Linked DNA regions of Nothobranchius furzeri. The protein of the gene in region 1 purifies or fractionates together with the protein of each later gene. This does not show direct contact. Links are inferred from orthologs where the notes say so. Each region holds a gene or a part of one and is shown on either strand. Other genes may lie near its edges.

Region 1 (4,463 bases):
AGAAACATATTTGCTGGGACAATTTTAGGCCTAACACACAATTAACACTTGCCTCTTTTAGGTAAAAAGTCACAAATCCATCAATGATGTTGTCCTGCTCCAGTCCAATGATCAGGTTCACAACACTGAGGAAAGCATAAACTGCATACACTGCATACAAATGCATGCACACTTTTAGGTTTTCTCTTACATTCATGACGTTTTTTTTTTTTTTACTTGATACCAAAAAGATGTAGCTTGTTTTGGACAGAAACTTGTGTTTCAAATAGAAAATTCCTACCATAGAAAAGTGGATCAACTGGAGCTTTCTTCTTGAGCATAAAACGGACTGAAATAGCCAGAATCACAACTGCCGTGCTCCCAGCAAAGAGAAAAGCTTCAGCACTGGATGCAACATAAGAACACCATGTTTTTCTACCCAATGGGCTAAAAATAATCAAGAAATGTTTGGCTACATCTAATAATATTTGTTTGTATCACCACAGAAAGTTAAATTTACAACATGAAAAAAATTGTTTACAAGCACTTACCTGTTGTTGTAAACTAGAGAGTTGAATAAATAGCAGAAGGGTATGGACATCAGGGACAGCATGAACACCCCTGTCCCAGCAGAAGCGCTCATTGCTGCCCAGTGGGGTCGAGCTTAAGACGGTGAAGAATTTAGAATAAATTGACTCCTGATTTAGTTTGTGTCATAATTTAGGGGATGTTTGGAGAGTGCTGGAGCAGCAGGCATGCTCGGTTCGTCCGTCTGGTCTGTCTGGATTAATGAATCTACTTTTAACCCTCTGGAGGCAGGCGTTGCAGGTTTGCAACAGTTAAAACTACCTACCTGGTTACTCCACATACGTATTTCAGGAGCATTTTTTTTAACTCATATGTGAAGGACTTACTTGTTCGTCCATTTATCAAAACTTATTTTGAGCCTGAGAGGATTAACTTCCTCCCAACGCGCGCGCACAGCTGCTCACATTCATGAGCAGACAAGAATGTTCCAGATTTTCTTTATTACACTGTCTAGCCAAATAGCCTAAGTGACAATTAAACTCAATATTTTTAATGTTTTGGTTTTGACAAAGATATTCAAGTAAAACAAACTCCTTACATCTAGAGGGCAAATGGAAAAACTGAAACTGGGTGCAGAAAGATAATTTGGAGCATGAAGCTGCTTCAATAAATTAAATAAATATATTTTGAAATAATAATAATAAATAAACTTTACAGAGAGAGAGAGAGAGAGAGAGAGAGAGAGAGAGAGAGAGAGATTGTGTCTAAAAGAAAAAATATGACTATGTGCAGCATCCCATATCATATCTCTCTTTTTTTCTAACTTGTTCTTTGCATTCTTAATTTTGCGCTGACCTCTTATACCAAATCAAAGAGTGTTACTGGTTCTAAGCATAGACTGTACATACGGTTCTAAGAAAGTTTTCTAGTTTTTACTTGGTTTCAAGGACAAAAACTGCAATGGCCATCTAAAGTCAAAGGGTGGCGGTAGTGCAACTAAAGGCTTACAGACTGCCGTAAAACACCAAAGAAGAAGAAGTGTTTCGAGGAAGTACGTTTGGGTTTTGTTAGCAAGCCGCAGCTGTAGCCTCGTGATGGATAATACGTAAATAAATAATGATGCACCCATGCGGTCGATTCCCGGTCATGTAACAAAAGCGGGATTTTTTGTACTAACATTTGTATATTAGTTTGTGTGTTGTAATGGCCAGCGGGAGTGGTAGCGGATTGGCGTCAAACCAAAACAGCCAAGAGGCTGCATCAAACTCGTCTCAGTGTGGAGCCGTGGCGTCGTTGTCTAACATACCAGTGTCCGCTCCCGGACCGTCCGCCTCCCCGCCTGTCCTCGGCCTTCACCGGGAGCCCATGTACAACTGGCAGGCGACCAAGAGTTCACTGAAAGAGCGCTTCGCCTTCCTCTTCAACAACGAGCTGCTCAGCGACGTCAGGTTCATAGTGGGGAAAGGCAGACAGGCCCAGAGGATACCGGCTCATAAATTCGTCCTGGCCGCAGGCAGCGCCGTCTTTGATGCCATGTTCAACGGAGGAATGGCCACGACCTCGACTGAAATAGAGCTCCCAGATGTGGAGCCAGCAGCCTTCCTCTCCTTGCTCAGGTACTTCGGACAGGTGTATGTACTCTAAATACATGCAACTTCAGGTTGTCACACAACACTGTTCTCATTATTTTACTCAGTGGGCTTGTGGTTTTTACATTTTTAATTGTGGCAAATACTTCAATTAGAAAAACATTGCACATTTGGTGTGATACTAACATTTGCATTGTAAGAGTAGCTCATTATTTCCTTTAAATCAGTTTTTAATGGATCTGTCCAGTCGTCACACCTGATCAGTCAGTGGAATAAAGAGTTATGATGGTCAGTCATTTAATATGGACTCAAGTTATTCAGCACAAAACCCTAACTCAAGGGATGAACTGGTGTTGCATCCTTTCATAACAAGAACTAGCTTGTTACAAAGACACGTCTTTGTGTGGCTTTAATTAGAGAGCCACACAAATAAAATCCTTTTGGATGTGTTTTTAAATGTTTTATTATTATTATTAATTCTCTAAGGACATCTTTCAAGTTTTTATTGAAGTTCTATTAAAAAATATCTCAAAAACCTCATTTAAGGTTTCTTCCTGTTAAAAGGGAGTTTTCCTTAGTATGAGGATTGCTGTAAAGTCACTGACATCGGTCAGTGACTTGATGCAATTTGCTGGGTTCCTTTTATAGGAAACTTTTTACTGATTGGCTTAATGAACTGACCTCTATGGGAATGTTTATTGTGTGAAGTGCCTTGAGACAACTCTTGTCGTGATTTGGCGCTATATAAATAAACTTGAATTGAATTTATTTAAAATCACTTTGCTGAGGTAATCAATGAACACAAAAAACTGTTTTTGTCACAGGTTGCTAGTGACAAAGCAACCCAATGATTTCAATGTATTTCATTTTCCATTAATATAAACGGAAAAGGAAATTGAAATGTCTTCAAATGGTTTAAAAGGAAATAAAACCATCAAGTTTTTAAATAGCAGTGTTTAAAGAAGTGATATGTGATTTGGGGTGGGGTTTTTTCCAGAGTATTTTAACTGTGTGGGAGTTTATAGTGTTATATAAGTGCTGGCTAAACATCCCAAAATGTAACTATGTTCCTTCTTATGTAGGTTCCTGTATTCTGACGAGGTCCACATTGGTCCGGAGACGGTGATGACGACTCTGTATACAGCCAAGAAATATGCCCTCCCTGCCCTGGAGAGCCACTGTGTGGAGTTCCTCACTAAACACCTCAGAGCTGACAACGCCTTCATGCTTCTCACTCAGGTTACCGTCTCGCCTGCATAATTCAGCTTTTACGACGACAATACTGGGCACCTCCAGTTGCTATGTGACAATTGATTTTAAATACTAATTCAATTTATTTAAAGGTGAAACTTGACAAAAGCACCTTTTGCCACTGAAGGGTTAGTTTGTATGCCCTCAGATCTTCCTGTGAGCAGTTTCTCCTTCATAAATGCTCTTGTTGAAATTCATGATAATAAAAAAGCAAGAGAATTATTCAAAAGAAGAAACAAAGAGTTGTTATCAGCATGTTCTGTTCTCGGGCAGAGTACTAGAAGCTGTTATGTGATAAAACGTGCCAAAAAGTCAGTGTTGCACATTTTATCAGCTGGGATCCACATAACCGAAGCCCTTACAGATGATAAGGCTGTTTACCTTATTTTGTGTTCACAGCAGACCATCTTCCGGCTTCTGCTGGTAGGATTAGTTTAACGTTAGTTGATCTGTTATTTTTGGGCTTTTCCTTTCCACTGCTGCCTGCTTTATTCATGTGTTTCACCCTGCAAGCATAACTCAACACAAACAACTTAAAGGTCTTTTTTATAATATTTTATTTGTCAGGTTTTTAGTCAAGCCATATAAACAAACATATGTTTATAATCAAAATAAGAATAAAAATACTAAACTTAAAAATAAAAAAGACAAAAAAAAAAAAAAGAAAAAGAGGGAGAAAAAAGGAGGGGGGGGGGGGGGGGGGCTGCCAGACCACATTGTAAACAGAAAGGTTTGTAAAACCGTCACTATTAAGCACATTAATGGGCCATTCCCATCTGTACCGGGTCGACCCGGGCCGGGTAGCGTAGGTTGTTTACATTTCTGGGTGGCCTGGTATTTTTCCGGGCCAACCAAGGCTCATTCTCAGCCCTCTTGTCGAGGGGGTCTGCTTCAGGCCGACCAGGGCCAACACACCCACTGCTGACAGCAAATTCACACCTTCCATTAGAGCAAGCCTCTGATTGGTGGGTAGAATCAGCCCACATGGGCTTAAGGCAATGATGTGTGGAATCAACCGGGCCAGGCTGGGGCCGACTGGGGCTACCCGGCCCGGGCCGACCCGGTACAGATGGGAATGGCCCATTACAGATGATAGAGCAAAATTACATTAGGTAT
Region 2 (3,768 bases), on another chromosome or scaffold:
GGAAGATCCTGGTCCCCCCACCGCCACCACCCCCTCCTGAAGAGGAGGAAGAGGAGGAACCTGTGGAGGAACCACCTGCACCTCCTGCCCCCATGGAGAAAAAACTAACCTTTTTCCCTCACCCTTACTATTATGCTCACCCCTACGACCCCAGAGATGATCTGTACGACCCGGCCCGCTTCCAGTACCCACAACCGGCCGACGCCCCCGAGGGGCCTGCAGAGGGGGGCAAGTGAACGTCTCTTTAGATGAAACGAACTGACTCAAAACACCCGTCCAGGGGTTCAGTGTCTCTGTAAAGGAAGCAGCTTTGATGAGTTGTGAATAAAAACACACCTGACTGTATTTATCATCACCTGATTCACTGATGTGCAAATTATGTTTAAGTTGTGAGCCAATAAAAAAAAAAGATGAGTGAAATCAGTGGAGTTTTTGACTTAATGAAAAATGCAAGAGGAGACCCAAAGGGTTGGATCCTCTCGGGTTTAAGTTGGGACTCGTAAAGTTCCAACTCACAGGTCATTACATCCGCTGCTGCTTTGCATTAAACACTCCAGTAATTGCTGACTCCGTTGGAAGCTCTGAACCTCATTTTTCCTGCCACACATGCATGTCTGTCTCAAAACCTCCACGGGCAAAAATCACGCAGCAGGAGGACGAGTTCAAAAACACAACAAAACGATGAGTTAGCAACAAACACTAAAGCTGCTAGAGCTGCAGCTCCACGTAGCGAAGCTTTCATGAGCTCCTTTAAACCTGCAGCTGTGTTATTACCACCATGTGTGTTTTCTTATTAATGCATTCAAACAACAGACACGAGGTTCCATGAAAAAAAAAAAACAAGATCATTTATTACAGAAACAGTAAAACAAACGGAGTAAAATTAGATCAAGTCCATGTACAGTGACCCAGAGAGTTAAAAGAGTTTGTATGGATTGACTATTGAATCGTGTGCTCTGAGATACACTCGCTGTTGAACTTTGTGGGGGAAAGCTGCGTAAGAGTTTCTTTTAGCTCATCAAAATACAACCAAACAAAAAAACAAAGAAGAAGGTGGAGGAGTTGGTGCGTTTTTGTCTCTCAGCTCAAAAGAAAAGTCCTCTCATCCTTCGGCCGATGCCCTGCCGGTCGTACAGGACGTTGAACTTGTTGATGAACTGGTTCATACTGTTGCAAGTCTTGGTGATGGTGCCTAAGTAGGCCATGAGGCCCACGTCATTACATTGCTGCAGGATCAAGGGGAAATAGGAACATATCAAATCTGGACTTTTGCTTACATAAATGTTGATATTTTGCTCACAAACAGCCAGCGTCATGTTTAGATGGTAGAAAACAAACCTGAAAATCTCTTTTTCTTACTCACATTAAATAAACACAACGACAGCCCCATGTTTGCCCTGCTGCTTTGAGCTTTACCCAGGTTTAGGCTCATTTTTCTCTATTATAGGAATAAATAGCTTCTAATAATTTCCGTGCTCTCCTGTACTCTTTCTACATCAACATTTAGCTCAGTGTTCATTTTAAAACTCATAAATAGGTGTTCATTAACTAAATCTTTGCGCTTTTTCTAAAAAACCTAAAAATCTAGTCATGAAACATGAATATTTCTGAATTACAACCAAGTTTACTCACGTCATAGAAATCCGTTTTGAACTTTATGGTGCTGAGGACCGGCAGTCTGTGGCAGAGGGCGTTAGCTTCACGAAGGATCTCGTGGTTAAACGGCACCTCTCCTGTTACACACACAAACACACACGCATCACATGCACACACACACATGCATGCACACACAGGAAAAATAACTTAAAAAGCATATAATAATGTGTTGGGATCATGTTTATTTACAAAAGGGCTTGTACGTGTGTGTGTGTGTGTGTGTGTGTGTGTGTGTGTGTGTGTGTGTGTGTGTGTGTGTGTGTGTGTGTGTGTGTGTGTGTGTGTGTGTGTGTGTGTGTGTGTGTGTGTGTGAAGACAAGAGGGGAAGAACCTAGTGAGAACAGCTGCTTAACTGATGTATTGAGACATTTTTCCCCTCGGAGCCTCATAAACGTGTCTCTCACCTGCCTCGACGGCTTTGACGTATTCTAGAATTATCTTCACTCGGCTGTGGAGCATCTTTATTGCGCTGTGCTGAGCTATAAGGTGTTCAGCCACTGACAGAGGAAAGAGAACAATAAACACATTAAAAACAAACACAGTCAGTTAGAATAACCTTTCTCAGTGGCCGAGTGGTAGAGTGTCCGCCCTGAGACTGGGAGATCAGGGTTCGATTCCCGGTCGGGTCATACCAAAGACTTTGAAAAAATGGGACCCAATGCCTCCCTGCTTGAGACTCAGCATTAAGGGGTTGGATTGGGGGGTTAAACCACCAAATAGTTCCCGAGCGCGGCTGTGTCTACTGCTCACCGCTCCCCCCAGGGGATGGGTCAAATGCGGAGAACAAATGTCGCACACACACCTGTGTGTGTGACAACTAATGGGACTTTGACATCAGACACATCAGAGTGGTGACTAACAACCTGCCTCTTCCTCACTCGCCTTGACTCTGAACCAGCTGCTGGTGTGTATTCGTCTCTCAAAGCATCTCATGACCCACATGGTGGGTTTTATCGAAACTCTGATGTGTATTTACAATTAAATTAGCTTTAGAGTCCATTAAAGATGGCCGTCACAGCTAATCAACGTTAGCAAACACGAAGATGGATGTAACTTAGTGAAGTTTACAGATATTGAGCTAAACTTGGTGTAAGTAACAGAGTCATAAACACAGACTAACAAATCAAACAAAATAAATAAATACTGAATTAGATCCCTGTTTGGCCTGGCTTGTTCTCCTCACCTGTGGAGTTTTCTCCGGTGCCGGTGGCTGTCATTCGAGCTACATGATCAACACCGATTCTCTCTGCCTCCTCTGTGGCTAAAGTGTAAGTCAGCTCAGCAAACAACATGGTAGCCTGGGTGGCAACAAAAGAAAACCACACACAGAAATGTTAGTAGAGAACAAAATTATTGTGAAAAGAAGTTTTTCAACTGAGCAGGACGTACCTCGCCACTGATGATGTCAATCACAGATTCATAAACACTAACAGGAAGCTGAAGGAGAAAGGAAACACTTTTTAAAACCCGTCTGATTGCTGCTGCTTCACCGATGCACCGAGGATAAACTTACGTCAGTGTGTTTGGTCATTGGGTTGAGCTTCAGGAAGAGTGGACTCTCAATGATCTCACACACCTGGCAGCAAACACACACGTATACAACAAAAGTATTATAAACACTTATTAATAACAAAACTCATGAGTGTGTGTGTGTGTGCCTGCTCTGTCTTCTCGATCCCCAGTGAGTCGTGGAGGATGGCTGCTTATACTGAGCCAGGATTCTCTGGAGGTTTCTTCCTGTTAAAAGGGAGTTTTCCTCTCCACTGTCGCTTTATGCTTGCTTAGTATAAGGATTGCTGTAAAGTCACTGACACTAGTCAGTGACTTGATGCAATCTGCTAGGTTCCTTATACAGGAAACATTTTACTGATTGGCTTAATGAACTGACCTGTATTCTAAAATCACTCAACAAGTTACAGTTAGTCCAAAATTCAGCTGCCCGGATAATCACCAAGACCTCCACTTTTGATCACATTACCCCTTCACTGGCTCCCTGTCAAGTACAGAATTGACTTCATGCCTTCTTCATGCCTTTAAAGCCATCCATAATCTCTGCTCCCCCATATCTTTCTAATCTCCTCCACATTGTCACTCCCACTCGCTCTCTCCGAT

Evidence for each region.
Region 2: the proteins of BTB/POZ domain-containing protein 1 (region 1) and cops6 purify together in Homo sapiens (affinity purification with mass spectrometry; 3 studies listed by BioGRID and IntAct, counting the BioPlex papers as one, with this or other methods). This does not show direct contact. The link is inferred for Nothobranchius furzeri from reciprocal best matches to the Homo sapiens genes BTBD1 and COPS6.

Annotation. Positions count from the first base shown.
Region 1 is NC_091749.1:41,446,996-41,451,458, forward strand, and holds the start of BTB/POZ domain-containing protein 1, read left to right. Parts: upstream 1-1,558; 5' UTR 1,559-1,710; coding exon 1,711-2,123; intron 2,124-3,178; coding exon 3,179-3,335; intron 3,336-4,463. Other genes in the region: transmembrane 6 superfamily member 1, read right to left, coding at 53-150, 281-384, 531-622.
Region 2 is NC_091741.1:79,983,603-79,987,370, forward strand, and holds the end of cops6 (COP9 signalosome complex subunit 6), read right to left. Parts: intron 3,233-3,768; coding exon 3,170-3,232; intron 3,094-3,169; coding exon 3,046-3,093; intron 2,955-3,045; coding exon 2,840-2,954; intron 2,154-2,839; coding exon 2,061-2,153; intron 1,734-2,060; coding exon 1,633-1,733; intron 1,227-1,632; coding exon 1,086-1,226; 3' UTR 822-1,085; downstream 1-821. Other genes in the region: and3 (actinodin3), read left to right, coding at 1-236. UniProt on the Homo sapiens protein: Component of the COP9 signalosome complex (CSN), a complex involved in various cellular and developmental processes.